Ovis aries: one gene and its partners. The protein of the gene in region 2 purifies or fractionates together with the protein of the main gene of each other region. This does not show direct contact. Links are inferred from orthologs where the notes say so. Each region holds a gene or a part of one and is shown on either strand. Other genes may lie near its edges.

Region 1 (3,500 bases), on a different chromosome or scaffold from region 2:
CACTTGGTTCCCCACAAGGGAACTTTTCTGAGGATTCTTAGTCATTTAACATTTTTTCCCACAAATTCGTCACCTAATTTTTTCTTGCTGCATCTAATCAAGAACTGGTTAATCATCTTCTGTTATTGTATATTGACTCCAGAACCTATAATATCACCCCCAAATTTAATCAGTTAACGTTTTCCTTCTTGCTACATAGCCAATTTTTAGTTGTAAAGTATTCCCATCAGGTAAGTGTATGGTGATTTACACACCCATTTCCTAACTGTAGGACCAGTAACCCTTTTAGGGAGCACCTTTTGAGAGAGCTTTCTGTGCATTTAAAATTTTCTTAGGATAGATTTCCAGAGGTGACTTTAGGAGATCATTCCCTTTCCTGGACGGTTTATTTATTGCCAAGTTGTCCCTGGCAGAGTTGTATCACCTGCAGCGTGTGAGCATTTGAGTTTTTCCACCCTCTGCAGTGGGTATTAACTGTCAAGCTGGTAAAATGAAGCAAGCCCTTTATTCTTTATGGCATTTAGAGCAGGATGGCTCATTGTTGAACTTAGCAGGGTTCACACAGTAAAAGTTGTTTGCTGTCAGATTTTAAATGACAGAGAATTAACCTTCATGCTGACAGTTTGTTCTCTGAGTTGGAACTTTGTGATGGTAGTGTTAAATAAATTGAGTTGCTGATTGTTAGCTTCTCTTGTCTTAATAATAACTGAATGGAAATGTTGTTCAGGTGCTTTTGTGTTTTAGAAATGTCTTTTATTTGCATACAAATGAATGCCTTCCCTTTGGGAGCCTTGCAGTAAATAGATTTGTGTCAGATTTCCAGTGACAGGGCCTGGGAGGTGATGACAGTTATTTTTCTAATTTTGTTTATTCAACAAATCAAAGTGGTTTTTTGTTTTTAATTGTAAGGAGACCATGAAGTGTTTGTTTTATCAATATGATGAGAAAATGTCATCCACATTGTAATTCAGTGCACAGGGTAATCCAGGAGTTGTTAGATTTAGGTCCGTTGATACTGAGCATAAGCTCTCTGTGTCATGCCTGCTTTGTGTTCATATGTAAAATACATTTTGCAAACAGCCGTCCTGCCTTTGGCAGTGCTGGGCACGCTTCTCCCGACAGTTCCAGAGTCGGAGCTTCGGGACCTTGACCTGCACTCATTTGGGTGTCTGTGGGGACCAGGAAAGGCATCGTATTTTTACAGACAATAAGGGGGTGTCATGCTAGAGAAACAAACAGAAGAAAGTACGAAGATGTAGGAACCTGAGACCATGCAGTGGGTCAGGGCTTACGAGAACCACGGAGATCAAGACCACCAGCCCAGGGCAAAGCCCCCTTTTTATCTTGGGTTTCTAGTGCACTGTTAGCCTTTTGTTCTTTTTCCTCTCAAAGAGCAGTTTGTAAATGTACAAAAGAGAAATGCAAAAACCTGACTTAGTGGACTTTAAAAAATGAACCATGTTGTGAAGGGAATTACATGCCCTGTTCAGACTCAGGGTCTGAGATGCAGCGGCCTTGGGAGGCTGTGGACTCCAGAGCATTCAGAGCCCAGGAGGCAGCTTTCTACTTTTCTTTCCTCTTTTTTTTGAGAGTCTTAATATGTCATGTCTCCATGTAATCAAAATCTGAGATTATTATATTAAATGACTGCAAGAACATGTTATTCATGACTTGTTTTGTATTTTAAGTTTTTATATATATATAAAAATAGAAGTATTCTATATTTACTCTGAAAAGTCAAATTTATTGCTTAAAATTTTGGGTGATGGCAGCTTTTTTTAAGAAAATGCTGTAGGGTGTTTATGGAATTGATCCTGAACTGAGAGGTGAACTCCCGTGCTCTGCTGCTCCTGGGCTGGGCGCCTGAACAGGTCAAGTCTCCTAGCCTCCTCGGGCATCTGCTCCCTCATCTGTGAACAGAAGTGGACAGGTGGTCCTCGGGGCCCTGCATGGTCCTTGACCTTAATTCTGTGAATAAAACTCCAAGACAGAGGGTGATACTTACTTTGGCATTTTCCCTTCCTCAGGACCCTGTTCCCAGCGGGTTTTCTGCAGGAGAAGTTTTGATCCCCTTAGCTGATGAATATGATCCCATGTTTCCTAACGATTATGAGAAAGTAGTGAAGCGCCAAAGAGAGGAGCGACAGAGGCAGCGGGAGCTGGAAAGACAGAAGGAAATAGAAGAGAGAGAGAAGTAAGGCCTCGTGCAAGTGTGGGATGGGGTTATGTTTGAAATGTTCATTCAGATGTTACGAGAACTTTAGTGCTGTCTGTGGACTGAGTGGGTTTTGTGGTTGGTCTGAACAGTCCTCAGGAGTCAGACTGTTGTTAAGAGTGTGTGGTTGTTACATCCCATCATGGAAACAAACTCCAGAGCAAGTTCAAGTACACACGCAGAAAACTTAGAACATGCATTTTGAGTGAGTTTTTAGAAAAATAGCTTACAAACTGATGTGGAATAATAGGTTTTGCTTTTTTGCCCCCTATGTTCTGACTCTACTAGAGTCATACTGCTTAAAATACTTAAAATGTTTTTCTCACCTTTTACTATTTTTGAGCCAGATAGAGTTTTTAAGAACTCATAACATCTTTTATGTTTTTCGAAAGTATGGGTAACAGATTTATTTGCATTTCTTCTTTTAAAAATGCTGAGTATTAATTTTTAAATGATTATATAAAACATTAATATACTATTTCTCATTATTTATTGACTTATTTCATGAAGTGAAAGCATGCTCTAGAGAATCGAAATTATTTCATTAACTCTTACCTGTGTTGATTCGCTTTAGTGTTGAAAGAGGTAAAATATCAAGGAAACTCTTTTCTTGCTATTTATATGCATATACCTGTTAAATTTGTTCAGTTTATCTTCTGGGTTTTTCTCACTTGTCACACGTTGGCTGCTTTAGTCTTTAATCAGTTGTTTGCATATCCCCGACGCCCCCCTAAAGTCAAGGTGACATCCTTGGGTTCACATCTCTGAATTGTTCCTTCTGTTATCACAGGAGGCGTAAAGACAGACATGAAGCTAGTGGGTTTTCCAGGCGACCCGATCCAGATTCTGATGAGGATGAAGATTATGAGCGAGAGAGGAGGAAAAGAAGTAATGCCTGAGCATGGGTGTCCTGTTTGGGATGTGCAGTTCTGCCCTTTCCTTCTGCATTCAGTTTGATAACTAGTTCAGCTGCAGTGGTTTGGGTAGTTTCCTGTCTGGAATCTCGGCAGAAGCCCACATCTGTATGGGGTTTCCCTTCGTTGTGTTCACAGATGGTCTCCCTAACATTCACGTTGTGGGCCTTGGAGCACGCCTTAAGCTGCATGCCTGTGCTCGCCCCCGTCCGTAGCACAGCCGTGCCCACCTGCTCTCTGTCCGTCTGCACTCTGATTCATAGCACTGAGTGGAGAGTCTGCGCTCGTGTTCAGAACCCTTGCCACCCACATGCATGGCTGCGCTTCCCTGGACGCTGGCTTCTGGCAGAGTTGCCAGCGGGGCAGGGAGA
Region 2 (3,981 bases):
GCTGGTAAAAAGTGCCCTTATCTTTGACTCCATCCCAAGAGAATAAATCAACCAACTACCCTACAGCTCCCCAGTCCCTGAAGCCCATTTGCTCCTTCCATGATTTAGGCATTGTAACAGTGCTGCAGAATGGCGTGATTATTCTACTGAATAGAATCTGGGAAGATAACAGAGACACTGTCACAGCAAAGATCTAATTCTAAAGGATGAACAGGAATTTTTCAGGTGGACAACAGAGTGGGAAAAGAACATTCCAGGCAGAAAAAAATCAGCAGGTGCAAAGCATGGATGTGATCAACAGCACAGTATGTTAAAGGAAACCCAGTAGAACAGCTTGTAGTCATGGGAGTAACAGGCAGGAGCCAGATTATGCAAAGCCTAGAATGCTATGATAGCGAGTTTGGGTTTCACTCTGTAAGTAAAAAGGAACAACCAGAAGAATTTTGAGCAAAGGTGTGTGAATATCTGTATTTAAGAAAAATTACTCTGAGATAGTCAATCAAAGTAGAGATAATTAGAGTCAAAGTGTCAGTTAGGGTATTACTAAAATAAATTAGGTGTGAAATAATGAGGATAGGAGAGCCTGGGCTTCCCAGGTGGCGCTAGTGGTAAAGAACCAATGCAGAGAGCCTGTTGTTCTCTTTGGTAAAACTTAAACAAGAAATGAAGACAGCATGATGGTTGTTAAAATAAACGGTAAAGTATCTTGCATTTTTTTCCTAAAAGAATGTCTGAAAGAAAGGAGAGCTTGGGCACTATCTATTATTGTTAAAGGACAAAGAACAGCAGCATTAAGTGCTGACAGAGCTCCTCCATCAAGCTCATCCCTCTCCTTCCCAGCAAAGAACGCTCACCTGGATGGGGCATCCCACCAGGTGGGAATGGGTGAGGATGTGAGTGTCCGTGTCCAGGATGTCCAGCCCCTGGGGTTCCCGCTGATGGGGGACCATGTCCTCCAGCCCCAGGAGGCATAGGTGGTGGTGGCATGGCTGGGGGTATCCCAGGAGGAAGGGCTCCAGGAGGTGGTACTGGAGGTGGGAAGGAGCCAGGAGGAGGCATGCCTATAGAGAAAATGGAAAAACAGTTAATGATAGTGAGCAGAGAGTGCCTTTAGAGAGCCTGTTCCACCCTGGCCTCTCCAGGCCGAATGAGCTCTTTTCCCCTCCTCCCAGCTCTCTGAAGTCAGCGGCAACATTAAGTGACTTGAACAACAACCTTCTGGAGAAAACTCAACAACTTTCTTCCCACCACAATCATCATCCCTCAACCCCTTTCTCATCACCTAATGACTCAATGTCCTCTCCTTGCCAGGTTATTTTTCCTTCTTCCTGGCCCCACCCTTCCCAACCCAACACAAACATTTTTTATCAAAAGCTTTACCTGGTGGAGGAAGCCCAGATCCCAATGATGATACCACAGGATTGGGAGCAGATGGTGGAGGGGGTGCATCTGCAAATAGCTGATGAGGGCGGTCAGCCTGGGAGAGTGGGTTCTGTGCTGCCAGAAGTCTTTCAGCGGCTGAGCCATGGCGCTCACCCTTGGAGTCCTTCTTGAATGCGTAGGACACAGTGATTGGGCGGTTACAGAGGTACTGCCCATTCATGGCCTCAATCGCTGCATCCGAAGCATCAAATGAAGCAAAATTAATAAAGGCATAACCTTTGGAGTTGCCTGTGTCAGGGTCCCGCATAATCTTGGGGGTTTGTAAGATGACCCCAAAGGCGCTAAAAGTATCATAAAGCAACTTCTCATCAATCTCCGGGTCCAGGTTCCCAATAAAAATGTTGGCCCCCACATCCAGGTTTTTGTTGTGAGCTGATGCCTTGTTCACCCGTATTGGCTTCCCATAGAGTTTGATCATGTTCATGATCTTAATGGCATAGTCAGCATCTTCCTCACTCAAGAATTCCACAAAGCCATAGCCTGGGGAAGTGGAAAAGAAGAGGTTAGCAACTGAAGTGATTTAAAAACGAGTTTATAACTCATTTGTCTTCTAAAGCACAAAGGATAAGAAATAATAATCCCAACTTCAATTGAGAATGGTTCCAGAAACAAAATCTTTAGTTTGCTCACTCCAAAACTTAATATCACTGGAGACCTCCAGGAGCAGTCTGTCCCTTTCATAGATAACTGTACTTTTTGCCGTGTACTCACCTTGGTGCTGACCAGTGACTCTATCCTTTGGCATGTGCGTGTTCACTACTGGTCCTGCCTGGAGAAATAGTTCCCACAGCAGTGGTTCGCTAACCTTCTCATCGAGGCCCCCCACGTACACAGTGGCATCTGGAAGACAGGATTAAGAGGTAAGGACAGAGATGAGGGGAAATAGGGAGGTAACGGGAACATGAAGATGGAACCCAGGCGGAGGAAGTGGACGTGGAGATGGGGTAGAAAAGCGAAAAAACAAAAAGATGTTAGATTAAGCTTTTAGAAGCTCCTCCTTTCCAGAAAATAGACAATCTTATGTCTAATTTAGAGTGACGGTGCAAGTTCACTCTGTAACTTTTCTTTTTCTTTTTTTTTTTTTTGAGTGGGAAGGCAGCAGAGGACTGGACACAGCATCACAACTATAGGCCTCAAGTCTGTCCATCCCGTCCCCATAAGGCATCGGGACCAGTCTGGCGCCCTTCGGAAAGGCAAAATCTCCCGCCCCAGCGGAAACATTGCTGGGCCTAGTCGAGGTCCCTCAAACCCCCAGAGTCCATTCTGGGTCTGTCCCCTCCAGTCACCCTGGTTTCGCTCGGAGATCGGCCCGGCAGCCATGGCGAAAGCGCTCCCGCCGTCTCCAGGCAGCGATCCCGCCCCCTGACCTCAGTCACTACTTCCGCTTCCGAGGCGAAGGCTGACGTGAGGTGGTGGGCGGGGCCGCGGCAGGGGAGGAGCCGGAAGCGGCCTCGGCCATCTTAGGAGACGCTGAGACTGGAAGCGGCTGAAGTAGCGGTGCGCTTCGGTCCACGCTCCCGTGCAGAAGTGCTACTATGAGCGGACGCGGCGGGGAAAGTGAAAAGGAAACGTTCTGTCTCTTTTAAGGCAGTGCTAGAAGTTAAAGGGTCACACTGCTCCCGAAACTGTCACTTCAGAAGCTGGGAGAACAAAACTTTAGTTTTCATGTGTTTTGTAGCCTTTTTTTCCCCCTTAGAAGGGTGTACAGAGGAACCGCTCAACGCAAGGCGTGGGGAGAACCGTCCATCCCAACCCGCAGTCCTTGAACAGACGCGGCCTCACAGCCCAGGCCTGAGCTTGAGGTATTTCCTTTTTCCTCAGGGAAGGAATTGTGGAATGTCTGAGCTCGCCTAGTCACTGCATAGGAGGGGAACCTGAGGTTCGGAGGTGGGGTGGTACCGAAGTTTACGGGGGTTTGATACTGAAGCCCAGAGGCCGAGGCCGAGGCCGAGGCCGAGGCCTTCAGAGCACACCCTGAACTCCAGCAACCTCTGGGCGTGCCTTTGCCCTGTCTACACGGAAGAGAGGACCTTAAATTGTGAATCCTGCAGCGCCTCACGCAGCCCAGCCCCTTACTTCCTTAGCAGTAATATGGTCGGTACCGTCCCTTCGTGGGTCACATTCCTTTCCCTCCTCTCCCACCACTCCCTTACCTAAGGTTCCTTTAATCAGACACAAACAATGCCAGCGGCGTGTATAAATATTGTGCTTTAATGAACTCCTTAAATAGAAATGTCACAATGAAAATATATAATTGGAAGAGATAGGGTGTCCTGTGTATATTCCATACCCATAGAAAACTATAAGGGAAGAAATAGAAATTGGAATTAAGCAGCAAGAGGAGGTGAGAAGGAGGTCTGTAGGCCATCTTGTTGGCACTGATAAACAGTATATCTGATTATCACAATTTACCAGCGCAATATCCAAAATTTCCATCCCAAAGACATGGAATTGCCCTGAAAAAGAGAGGCAGTCTTCTGGATTGTTGTTGTTTCTTAATTCTTCAAATGATAAGAACTGTTTAAACCAAACAAGGCA
Region 3 (3,500 bases), on a different chromosome or scaffold from region 2:
CATCACACACACACACACACAACACACACACACACACACACACACACACACACACGGAGTTCTCACATCCCAGACCCCATAGTAGCACAGCTAATAACACACACACACTCCTTTTTTCTCTTTCCCTGTCACTTTTACAACCAAAAATGTCCATAGATTTCCAGATACTGGTAAGGGTGACTGACGTGTCAACTCTGACTGAGAACTTGTTTCAGGATTTTCGTTTTTGAAAGTTTTCCCAGTTTTAGGGCACTTTTTGTTGAGGTGGAGTGGGGGTGTGGTTGCTAAATCTGGTTTGAGCATGGTCAGAAGGTGCACAGGCACAGGGTCAGCCTGGGGTGTGACAAATCTGATCCATATTAGTGTATTTCCACCTCACACTTGCTGCATAAGTATCACTTAGGATTGTCAGGGGTCAGGGTACACATGGGCTCCATTTCTCACCCAGTTAACATGCTTGCAGTTAGGGGCATAAGTGACCAAGGGAAAAGATCATTGTGGTGAGACTCACACTGTCCCCACAGTGTGAATGTGGCATCACTGACACAGTCAGAAATTCGGGACATCATCCTGGGGATGGAGATCTCAGCGCCATCACAGCAGCGGCAGCAGATCGCTGAGATTGAGAAGCAGACGAAGGAACAGTCGCAGCTCACTGCAACCCAGACTCGCACTGTCAACAAGCATGGCGACGAAATAATCACCTCCACCACTAGCAACTACGAGACCCAGACTTTCTCTTCTAAGACTGAATGGAGGGTCAGGTAGTGCATAGGGCAAGACGGGTGGGGATGGGAAGGCCTGCTGGTGCCGCATGAAGTGCTTGAGTTGAAAAATGCCAACATTCCCTGCCTGTTGTTAGGGCCATCTCTGCTGCCAACCTGCACCTAAGGACCAATCACATCTATGTTTCATCTGATGACATCAAGGAGACTGGGTACACCTATATCCTTCCCAAGAATGTGCTTAAGAAGTTTATCTGCATATCTGACCTTCGGGCCCAAGTGAGTATGTTTGTCCATCTAGGCCACAGTGTGTGCTAAGCATTTATGAGCCTAAAACTCACCTGAGATTTCCTGGAACTGGAGGTGATGGTTTTGAAATTCATGGATGAGTAAAGTATATGTAAGGATAGCCGAAACAGGGAGGAAGGTTTTGGCCCCCACCAGATACCAAAGCATTATAAAGCTATGGCAATTGAGAGGAGGATGTGTGATTGGCCTAGAAGTTATTGGAAAGAAGTATCATATAGTCAGAAACAGATTCATGTGTATACAGTAAATCAGGTGTATCACTTGAGGATTCCACTCCATCTGTGGGATGAAGTGTGTTTTATGACATTGAAATAATCAGCAAAGGGAGACTTGATCCCTACTCCATAGCACTTAGAGAAGCAAATCCAGGTGGAATGAAAATCTGGATGTGAAATACTAAACACTAGTTATTAGAAGAAAGTATTTATTGTCTTAGTGATGGAATAATCTTAAATAAGATATACAGCACAAAACCATCATCAAAATGATTAACTTGTGTGTGACAAAGAGTACCACAAAAGACAAAAACAGGAAGAAATAAAAGATAACTAGAAGATTGGGCAAAGAAGGTAGTTTTGAAGAGAAACCGAGGGTGGAAAAAGTGCTGCGGAGTGCTGGGTTTAAAGATGTGCACTGCTTGTTGAATGCCTGATCTGTGTGCTCATGTGCTCATTTGTTTATGGATACTGTGCTTAAATACTTAAATAATCAACTGGGGAATGTGTGAGCAATGCCGATTCCTGGACCCCACTCAAGATTCTGATGTGATTAAGTCTGAGATGAGGTCCATGTTTAACATTTTGAATAAGTACTCCCAGGCTTTTTTGATGTAGGAGATTCTGGCCACATTTTGGGGAACTCTGACCTTGTTCCTGGAGAAGGGAATTAAGCTGGTTCTAAGAATCTCTTTGGTTTCTGACCCCCTTGTCTCCAGATTGCAGGATACCTGTATGGGGTGAGCCCACCAGATAACCCCCAGGTGAAGGAGATCCGCTGCATCGTGATGGTACCACAGTGGGGCACTCACCAGACTGTGCACCTGCCTGGCCAGCTGCCCCAGCATGAGTACCTCAAGGTTAGTGGAGGAAGTGGGAGAGCTGCGGCATCCTGCTCTCAGGGTGGTGGAGGGAAGGCAGAGGTTTTACTCTCATGGGTGGGATTTCTGGGCCCTAAAGAGCTTTCCACTACTCTTCCTATAGGAGATGGAACCCTTAGGTTGGATCCATACTCAGCCCAACGAGTCTCCCCAGCTGTCACCCCAGGATGTCACCACCCATGCTAAGATCATGGCTGACAACCCATCTTGGGATGGCGAGAAGACCATTATCATCACCTGCAGGTGGGCTTGAGCCCCCTTGGGAGGAAGGGTGATGGGAGGCATTGTGGGCCAGGGCCCAGAATGGTGGCCTGAGCTCTGACTCTGTCCTCATTTCTCTTCCAGCTTCACACCAGGCTCCTGCACCCTGACAGCCTACAAGCTGACCCCCAGTGGCTATGAATGGGGCCGCCAGAACACAGACAAGGGCAACAACCCCAAAGGCTACCTACCCTCGCACTACGAGAGGGTCCAGATGCTATTGTCAGACCGTTTCCTTGGCTTCTTTATGGTCCCTGCCCAGTCCTCATGGAACTACAACTTCATGGGTGCGTGGGGCAGGGTGTGGGCTGAGGGCAGGGGTGCACAGGAAAGTGGGGATGAGGTTAGGCCACCGCCCTTAGCACTTGGGCCCAGATTCTGGTTTAGAGATGGCCCAGGGACCCAGGCTGGGTGAGGCAGGTGGACCTTGCCAACGTTGGCCTCTTCCTTCTCCTCCAAGGTGTCCGGCATGATCCCAACATGAAGTACGAGCTGCAGCTGGCAAATCCCAAAGAGTTCTACCACGAGGTGCACCGGCCCTCCCACTTCCTCAACTTCGCTCTCCTGCAGGAGGGCGAGGTCTACTCTGCGGACCGAGAGGACCTCTATGCGTAGTCGTCTCCTCACCTCTTGCTCCAGCCTTCTGGTCAAGGCTAGAGCCTGTGGCCCCACAGACAAGCTGGTGACATTCAGCAGCTTGGCCCCTTCTTCTCTCTTCTGTGCTTGTGATGTTGTTGACCTCCTGGTGACTTGTAATTGTGAAAAAGTATAATAATAAATTTTGTATAAATAGGAGGTTTTGAAGCTTTTTTTCCCCTGAGCTCAGATTCTGGATGTAGGGATGGCAGAAGCCAGACATGTTCTCTGCAAGCTGCTGGACTGAGCCTTGAGTCCCCCTGTTTGGAGCTGTGGGGATAAATATCCTCTAAGCTCAGTGAGCTGAAGGGAAGTTGGGCTTTCACACCCCTGCTGCTATGACCACATTTGCCAGTTTTACCCCAAATACTTGTAAACGCTCACCGCTTTTCAGCATCTCTTGGAGCAGTCACTATTTTGAGTGTAGAAGCTCCTGGCTTGTTCTCTGTAGCTGCAGAGCCCAGCTTAGCCCC

The links.
Region 1: the proteins of SF3B4 (region 2) and RBM17 purify together in Homo sapiens (affinity purification with mass spectrometry; 4 studies listed by BioGRID and IntAct, with this or other methods). This does not show direct contact. The link is inferred for Ovis aries from reciprocal best matches to the Homo sapiens genes SF3B4 and RBM17.
Region 3: the proteins of SF3B4 (region 2) and PRPF8 purify together in Homo sapiens (affinity purification with mass spectrometry; 4 studies listed by BioGRID and IntAct, with this or other methods). This does not show direct contact. The link is inferred for Ovis aries from reciprocal best matches to the Homo sapiens genes SF3B4 and PRPF8.

Annotation. Positions count from the first base shown.
Region 1 is NC_056066.1:10,888,321-10,891,820, forward strand, and holds part of RBM17 (splicing factor 45), read left to right. Parts: intron 1-2,027; coding exon 2,028-2,194; intron 2,195-3,005; coding exon 3,006-3,103; intron 3,104-3,500. UniProt on the Homo sapiens protein: Splice factor that binds to the single-stranded 3'AG at the exon/intron border and promotes its utilization in the second catalytic step. Involved in the regulation of alternative splicing and the utilization of cryptic splice sites.
Region 2 is NC_056054.1:100,033,289-100,037,269, forward strand, and holds the start of SF3B4 (splicing factor 3B subunit 4), read right to left. Parts: upstream 2,801-3,981; 5' UTR 2,764-2,800; coding exon 2,730-2,763; intron 2,284-2,729; coding exon 2,155-2,283; intron 1,924-2,154; coding exon 1,381-1,923; intron 1,062-1,380; coding exon 855-1,061; intron 1-854. UniProt on the Homo sapiens protein: Component of the 17S U2 SnRNP complex of the spliceosome, a large ribonucleoprotein complex that removes introns from transcribed pre-mRNAs.
Region 3 is NC_056064.1:22,647,802-22,651,301, reverse strand, and holds the end of PRPF8 (pre-mRNA-processing-splicing factor 8), read left to right. Parts: intron 1-524; coding exon 525-764; intron 765-862; coding exon 863-1,004; intron 1,005-1,968; coding exon 1,969-2,109; intron 2,110-2,233; coding exon 2,234-2,373; intron 2,374-2,475; coding exon 2,476-2,678; intron 2,679-2,851; coding exon 2,852-3,006; 3' UTR 3,007-3,186; downstream 3,187-3,500. UniProt on the Homo sapiens protein: Plays a role in pre-mRNA splicing as core component of precatalytic, catalytic and postcatalytic spliceosomal complexes, both of the predominant U2-type spliceosome and the minor U12-type spliceosome.